2 linked regions of the Saccharomyces cerevisiae S288C genome follow. The protein of the gene in region 2 binds, or shares a complex with, the protein of the main gene of each other region. Each region holds a gene or a part of one and is shown on either strand. Other genes may lie near its edges. The genes, in order: SPN1 and SPT6. A codon is read from its position in the direction of its gene.

Evidence for each region.
Region 1: the proteins of SPT6 (region 2) and SPN1 are in contact, whole or in part, in a crystal structure (PDB 3OAK), measured with the Saccharomyces cerevisiae proteins. Residues at the interface, in NP_011631.1 of Saccharomyces cerevisiae: Lys241 (codon at 880), Glu244 (codon at 871), Met245 (codon at 868), Asp247 (codon at 862), Ile248 (codon at 859), Phe249 (codon at 856), Gly250 (codon at 853), Gly252 (codon at 847), Asp254 (codon at 841), Tyr255 (codon at 838), Trp257 (codon at 832), Ala258 (codon at 829), Leu259 (codon at 826), Ile261 (codon at 820), Glu262 (codon at 817), Asn263 (codon at 814); in NP_015458.1 of Saccharomyces cerevisiae: Arg222 (codon at 1,402), Glu226 (codon at 1,390), Pro227 (codon at 1,387), Leu228 (codon at 1,384), Pro229 (codon at 1,381), Asp230 (codon at 1,378), Gly231 (codon at 1,375), Thr253 (codon at 1,309), Leu256 (codon at 1,300), Lys257 (codon at 1,297), Gly262 (codon at 1,282), Arg263 (codon at 1,279), Val264 (codon at 1,276), Ile266 (codon at 1,270), Phe267 (codon at 1,267), Lys270 (codon at 1,258), Ser271 (codon at 1,255), Lys272 (codon at 1,252), Arg273 (codon at 1,249), Ile286 (codon at 1,210), Trp289 (codon at 1,201), Thr290 (codon at 1,198), Arg291 (codon at 1,195), Pro292 (codon at 1,192).

The regions. Positions count from the first base shown.
Region 1 is NC_001148.4:795,146-799,029, forward strand, and holds SPN1 (transcription factor SPN1), read right to left. Parts: upstream 2,066-3,884; coding exon 833-2,065; downstream 1-832. Other genes in the region: 40S ribosomal protein uS12 RPS23B, read left to right, coding at 250-622; TOM5 (Tom5p), read left to right, coding at 2,412-2,564; MSS18 (Mss18p), read left to right, coding at 2,906-3,712. UniProt on the Saccharomyces cerevisiae protein: Transcription factor involved in RNA polymerase II transcription regulation. May function in both SPT15/TBP post-recruitment and recruitment steps of transcription.
Region 2 is NC_001139.9:718,409-722,008, reverse strand, and holds the start of SPT6 (chromatin-remodeling histone chaperone SPT6), read right to left. Parts: upstream 1,601-3,600; coding exon 1-1,600. Other genes in the region: DAM1 (Dam1p), read right to left, coding at 2,085-3,116; cytochrome oxidase assembly protein SHY1, read right to left, coding at 3,482-3,600. UniProt on the Saccharomyces cerevisiae protein: Histone H3-H4 chaperone that plays a role in maintenance of chromatin structure during RNA polymerase II transcription elongation thereby repressing transcription initiation from cryptic promoters.

The sequences.
Region 1 (3,884 bases), on a different chromosome or scaffold from region 2:
TAATTTTGCAAGAAACTAGGGTAGGGCTACTTAATTTATTATAGCCATTTGAATTCATCAGCTTTTAGGAGGAGAAAGGCCATTTTGCGAATTTTGAATAAGAAAGTCCACAAGTGATGAAACTGAAAATCTACAATGAATTTCTGCCATCTCAGATAATGAATTCACTACGAGAACCTCATTTACTAACAAATTTATTAATCTTTTTGATGAAACTATGTTTTGTCAAAAGTTAATCGTTTAAAACAGCCGTTGGGCCGAAAACAACTATAAGAAGAGATTATTGGGTACTGCCTTCAAGTCTTCTCCATTCGGTGGTTCTTCTCACGCCAAGGGTATTGTCTTGGAAAAGTTGGGTATCGAATCCAAGCAACCTAACTCTGCTATCAGAAAGTGTGTTAGAGTTCAATTAATCAAGAACGGTAAGAAGGTTACTGCTTTCGTTCCAAACGATGGTTGTTTGAACTTTGTCGATGAAAATGACGAAGTCTTGCTAGCCGGTTTCGGTAGAAAGGGTAAGGCTAAGGGTGATATTCCAGGTGTTAGATTCAAGGTCGTTAAGGTCTCTGGTGTCTCCTTGTTGGCTTTGTGGAAGGAAAAGAAGGAAAAGCCAAGATCTTAAGCAGAGTTATATTACGATTTCATAATTCGAAAAATTCTACTGTGTATGTATATGTTTAAGAGATTAAATAATTCTTCAAAATCATCAAACATCAAGCTTATTTAATAATCCTCTTAATAAAACCACCTAGTGTTATTTCGAATTTCTTAAACAAAAAACACATACATATGATACATATCTCAAAGCATTACGGAATTACCTGTTTTGTTATTATTTATGCTTCTTGTTTAATCTTGAAGTCAACCTCTTGTACATCTCACTATTGTTTAAAGTGGAACCAACACCAACTGCTCTTGCGTTTGTAGGTACTGCGCTAAGGTTACTCACAGGAGCATACTTGTAATCAGTAGTGGTTTGTGCTGGTGCGGCAGCCCTGTTTCTCCTTGCAGCAGCTTGTTCGTACAAGGTTTGTACCGAAGAACCACGAGAGGTAGGATCTTCACCAGACTTAGATTTCTTTTTCCTATTTTTGGCAGAATCCATAACGGATTTCTTTCTCAATTTTTCAGAATCAAACTCTAATTGCATTATTCTCTTATCTCTGTAGTTATCTGAAGCACCAATAATAGGTCTTGTCCACTCCGCAATTAATTTTTCAGCCAACCTAGCTAGTTGAGCTTCGACACGCTTGGACTTTGTATAAAAGATAACTACTCTCCCCAAACCACTCTCCTTCAGGTGTTCAGTTTTCACTGGTAGATCGTTTAAAGCTGCAAAGAGTGACTTTTGAATCTCAAAAGATGGCAGAGACCCATCAGGTAAGGGTTCCAACCATATTCTGACACTTTGAAGTAAGTTATTATCCAAAATGGTGTCTGCCAAGTTTGCCTTTGACAGTACGCTTACCACCTTCGGCAACAATTTGACCTTCTGCATGGCAATCAGCGAAGTATCTCCAGTTTCTATTCTCTTATTTAAAGTATCGATGTCCAACTGTGCTGCAATATTCATTTCGTCTTTAAGCCTTAGAATTTTTTCATCCAAGTACTGTTCTAAATCGTCTTCATCCCTCCTCGTTCTTCTAACCTTTGGTTTTTTCAATATACGGTCCAGTTTTTCTTCCAATTCCTGTCTACTACTTGGAGTAGCACTTGAATCTCTATCTTTACTAGCCCTATTTTCCACCGTTGGTTGAAGACTCTGATCATTATGCTCCTCCTTTTCTAGGTCGTCATCTGAGAAATCTGTGCTAATGTGCTTACGTTTCCTTTCTGCAGCTTCTACGTTACTATTTTCGTCTATTGCGGCTTCCTCGTTCTTTTCTCCGTTATCTGGGTCTTTAGTATCATTGGAGGTACCTTTTGAAGTTTCTTGGGGTTCCATACTTTGATTTTGTTTTGTATTTTCATTCTCAGCGTTTATAGTTGACTTTTGGGAGGAAGCTGTCCCATCTTCTGGTGTCGCTTCCACCACTTTGGGTTGTTCTTGATCGGCTGTACTCATTGCTAATTGATATGTTTTTGCCTTTTATTACTAAAAGTTCCTCTATATATACTTCAGAGGACAATAAACTCCCTTGATATGGCCTGCATATACTTTACAAGTGCTATCAAACAAAGATGCTGGGCAATGAAGCTGACAGTTAACTCTTCCAAAACTTCCCTTCAAAGAAATTGTGAGAGAAAAAAACCTTCTTGTTACCCTTCTTTGGAAGAATACCGCACATCATAAAATCAAGAAATGAATTCGAAAGTTTACTCTTTCTTTCTAGAGGCGTTACACCAATATTAGCGAATTGCAGTTTCCCACAAAAGGCGTCCATTGGCATCAAATAACTAGATAGTATAAAATGTTTGGTCTACCTCAACAGGAAGTCTCCGAAGAGGAGAAAAGAGCTCATCAAGAACAAACTGAGAAAACCTTGAAACAGGCCGCTTATGTGGCTGCGTTTCTTTGGGTTTCCCCAATGATCTGGCATTTGGTGAAAAAGCAATGGAAATAATTCCCCACTGAAGAAAAAAGATTGCATCTATGAATGACACTAAAATATGTTTCTCTTTTTGTATTTGCTTTTGATTAAATAATGGTCAATTTGCGCCCCCCACCTTATATAGTTTAGAGAAAGACGTGTAAATATTTTTTAAAAAATTGATACTGCTCTAATGAGCCTAAATCTCCTTTCTTCGCTTGTATATATGCGTATTCTGTATGTTTGTCCAGGCAGATTTTTCGGCTTTTTTTACCAGCTTTTATTATTAAAATGTGATAACCTTAATTGAAGGTTGCGATACAAAATAATCCTTTATTACGCATAACCAAGGAAAAGAGAAAATCAGTGCACATATGGGTTTACCTGAAGTTAACTTTCTTCGAAAAAACTGCATACTTGTGGAGTTAAAATTATTCTATCAAACAGTATACCCACCGAAGGAACTATATTGGAATAACCGAATAACTGCAGAATTGAGTACATTCTCCAATATTAAGTATGCAAGGCCGACTTTCGCAGTAAATAATGGCACATTTCAGAGAACAAGACCGAAATTAGACTTGGTACTGGCTTCATCTGATATTCGTAAGCTGGCTACGGTTTTATTTAATTTAAAAGCTCTCATAATGAATACGAAGGGTGAGGAACCCACTCTAACCACGATGACTAGTGTCCAAACGAACGAAGAGAAAAATGATAACCTGGAACAGAAATATTCAAGTCTGCTAGATAGATGGAATGGGAAAGTAGAAGTGCATGATTCTCCTTTCCTTCAACTCCAACGGGACAGCAACCTTTTGTTTGCTGAGAGGCCGGTACGTTACGTTAGCACTACAGAAGGTGAAGGCGTGGACATATCTAGTGAAGAGTTTTTCAGGTTAGAGGAAGAACAGTGCCGAAGGAATTATGATGTTTTGGTCGATGAACATTCTACACCATCAGTCGGGATGAAAGACGGCCAATACGGACCAAATATAATTCACTTTGAACCGTCGCTGTACCACACATATTCTTCTCTACCAATGAGTATGAAATTTTGGTTAAATGGTCTAGAAGACGACGAAACGACGATGATGAACATTGATGAGAAGTCAGCCGAAAATCTGGATATATTATTACATGGTTTCAAAGGATTTTCGAACAAGCGCGTTAAAGGATGAATTAATCATCCTCTTCATGTACTACTTATGTCCAATTTGAGTGTAAAATCACAGGTACAAGGCTTATCCATATTCGTATATATCTTCATAATGTTTCATAATTGCTTCAGAAAATTATTCAAAACGTCTTGTGATATTCATTAGGTGAAATCGTAGTTTGCCTGATACTTGA
Region 2 (3,600 bases):
TTTGATGCTGGGAACTGATATTTTCACCAACATCCTCAGCTGATATACCAATATCACTAACCGCTTGATAAAGAGGACTAGCTTTAAATTTTTCATAACTGGAATTTTTCAAATGTTTCTTACCAGTCTTTCCAGTGTGGTTTATAAACATTTCATTGATTTCGTTGGCATATTTGAATTCTAGGTAGTCATAAATATCCTGTAGAGAATTCAGTTCCGCAATAGATGCAGTATTCTGATTTTTGAAGTATTCAGTGACAATAGGATCATCGATATGTAATTCTGCATAAAATCTCTGGACATAATCCTTTTTGTTCACAAGACTGTGAAATTCGATGTCAAGGCTAACTATATCCCAAAGGTCATCTTCAGTCAAAAGAAACCCATCTTTTTCTCTTGAGGAAATATAGTTACGACGGTAAGCATATATAAAAGGGACTTCCAAGTTTTCTTTGGTGATAAATTTGATTGCGTTCCCAATTGCTTCTTTAAATTCAGTGAGATCATAATTGGCATCGAAGTTCTTATCCACAGAAATTTTTTCTGCTATCCAGTTTCTTTCTAATTCTTGATCCTCCGATGACATATTTCCGTAGTCAGTAATACCTGCTCTTAATTCTTGATATCTTTCTGGAATATCTGTCTTTCTAATTTTCATGTCTCCTTCAGTCATCAAGTTTTTTTTCAAATCCTCTAAATCATAAATGTCTTGTAGAGATATCTTTTTCTTGGTGCTTTTTATAGCACCAGTTTCTTCATCGATCTCTTCTTCTTCAGCTTCATTGTTGTCGTTACCATTTTCTAGTTCTTCATTTTCAATTTCTAAAGCCCAATCGTAGTCATGACCATCACCAAAAATGTCATACATCTCGTCAATCTTATCCGACGATAGACCAGTAATCTGTGTAGGTTGTTTGATGGATTGTTCTCTTAAAAGCTTCTTTTCTTGGATCCTCCTTTGTCTGGTTTCGTCGTCCTCATCAGAAAATTCATCATCTTCAATGAAATCATCCAATTCGTCCAAGATTCCACCTTTGTCAGCTGTTCTGTTCCTATTTTCATGGTCTTCTTCATCACGCCCATATTCATTGTTCCTACCGTTGCGTAAACCAGATTCTTCTTCTTCTTCATCTTCAGAAAAGAAATCTTCCAATTTAGACGTAGAATCTTGCCTTGATGCAGCGACGTTGTCACTTTCTGATTCTGCAGCGTTTCCTTCATCTCCTACTCTCTTTAATCTTTTAAATTTTCCTGAAGAGGAGCTCGCTTTGGTACGTTCAACACCAGCATTCTCCATTAACAAATCCAAATCATCTTCGGATAGTCGATCATCTTCTTCTCTTTCTCTTCTTTTATGTTTTCTTCTTTTTTTGGAAATACTTGTTCCTGGGTCTTCATTTTCATCATCATCGTTGACAATGAAGCCTTCTTGCACTTTTCTTGCCTCATCTTCGTCTTCATCAATATCTTCGTCTTCCTCAGAGGAGTCAAAGACATCTTCTCCTTCTTCTTCCTCACTAGGCGCTTTAGTTTCATCGTTGTCATTTACTATTTCTTCCTCGTCCCTAGGGACCAGCTTCGAATCTCCCGTCTCTTCCATAAAAGGCAAATTCTATGTAAAGATTCTAGGCAATTAATGACCTGTTCGCTTGGGTTATTCTTCAAAGCACAAATCAATATCTTTCTTCCTCCTTTTGCTTTAACCGTTGTCCAGTTTCTTGTCAATTTGGTTTGCCATACATAACGAAAAAAAAATGACAGTTATAGAAAATATTACCCGAATTTTCCCGCACTTTTATTGAAGACGTTATATAAAGGGGTACTAACTAATTTAAAAATCATTCATGACTCGCATAGTGGCACAGTAATAGCCTCGACCGCCTGTCCGTATCTTCTTTTATATAGATATATCATGTTTCGTTGTAATGCGGGTTGTGCCCATGCACTGCTGATATGTGTACTGCCTTCCTCCCTATTGCTATAAAGAATCAGTCAGCTCATCAAATATTCTTCTTATCCATAACTCACGCATGCTAGCGATATATTTTGTGAGGAGGATAATTCTTTGGTTGGGTTGGGCGTAGTCATCTGAAGGGGGGCCTTGTATTTATTTTTTTTTCAGTTTTCTTTGCAACAGAATGTCTGCTTTCTGTGGGTTTCCTTTCAGCACGTCCTGAGAACATTGAATTTCTGTTCTTCGTAACGGGCCCATTGACCACTCTTGCAGCACCACTTCCGAGTGATATTCGATTATTTGGATGCAGATCTCCCAAATTAACAACATTGTCGTTTTCGATGGGTAAATCAGCGCCGGAAGCAATGCTATTTCTGATTGTATGTAAGATGGACTTTCTTCTCAGTTTACTGTTGGTATTATTATTCAAACGCGTGGTTTTAGTCACGTGACCTTGAGATGATTTGGACATACCGATATTTGTTGGATTTAGAACAAAAGAAGCTTCACTACTAGTATCGTCTTCATAGTCCTCCTCATTCTCTACTTGTAAGTTGTTGCCTATCTTGGAGGGCTTCCTCTTGTCTCTGTTGTCATATGACCTGTATTTTCTTACTTGTGAGGAGGGAAATAGCGGCTGGTTAAACTGTTTGTTCTGAGATGCCTTGGCCAAATCATTTTCACCTTGTTCGTCTTTTTTTCTTTTAATCCCGCGTTCCATATTGGAGAGTTCCATTACTAAGTTATTTTTCTCATCTTCCAACGATTTCAATTGTTTAATAGCGATCAAATCGTCTTGAATATCATGAGGCGCCTGTGAGAATTCTACGCACCATGAATTGCTCATAATACCGTACAACAACGAACCTAGGGATTCATTAAGATCAGCTAAACTCTCGTGGATAAAATTTAAGCGCGTGAAATTGGAATCTAAAGTAATGATTGAATCGCTCAGTTCTCTTATTTTAGGCAACAGAAGCTGTTGTATGGTATTCTCGTTATATTCGCCAACGGAACTCGTTAATCCCTCTTGATCAGCAAATTTCATCAGGGATGAGGATTCACCCATAGACGACCTTCTTGAAGTCGGAGCGCTACCAATGGATAAACGATATTCCGTGGCAGACCTTGTGGTCCCTAATTTAGCTTTATCTTCGCTCATAGGTGAAAGTGGCAATACAAGCCTTTTCTGATATTGTTTTGGTGCAATTGCTGAGCTTATACGCTCCAAGTTTCAGTGCAATTGGACAAGTTTAACGCCAAAGGATTCATGCGTCGATAAAACATGTTTGTTTTGGCTATTATTTATCGATATTGTCCGGGCAACGCGCAATGTTCATATCTTGAGCGGCACATAAGGTATATGGATAAAAAGGTGTTAGTTATGTACAAGTTTAAATTATGTAAATGTGCCATATCCGAATCATTGTAGTTGCAAAACTAATGTGGAAAACCGTTTAGGCAGTGCTCGTGAAATTACGCGCTTCTTGGATAGAGTTCGATAGTATGGGCAGAGGAGTTTGCCGTTTACATATATTTCCTTGAATGCTTCAGTTTCTCTTTCATTAGTTGGTCTTGGGACACAACGCCCCCTCTTTTCGCCTTCCTAAGAGCCACAATGAGGAAGATTGTGCTCAAAAACGAAA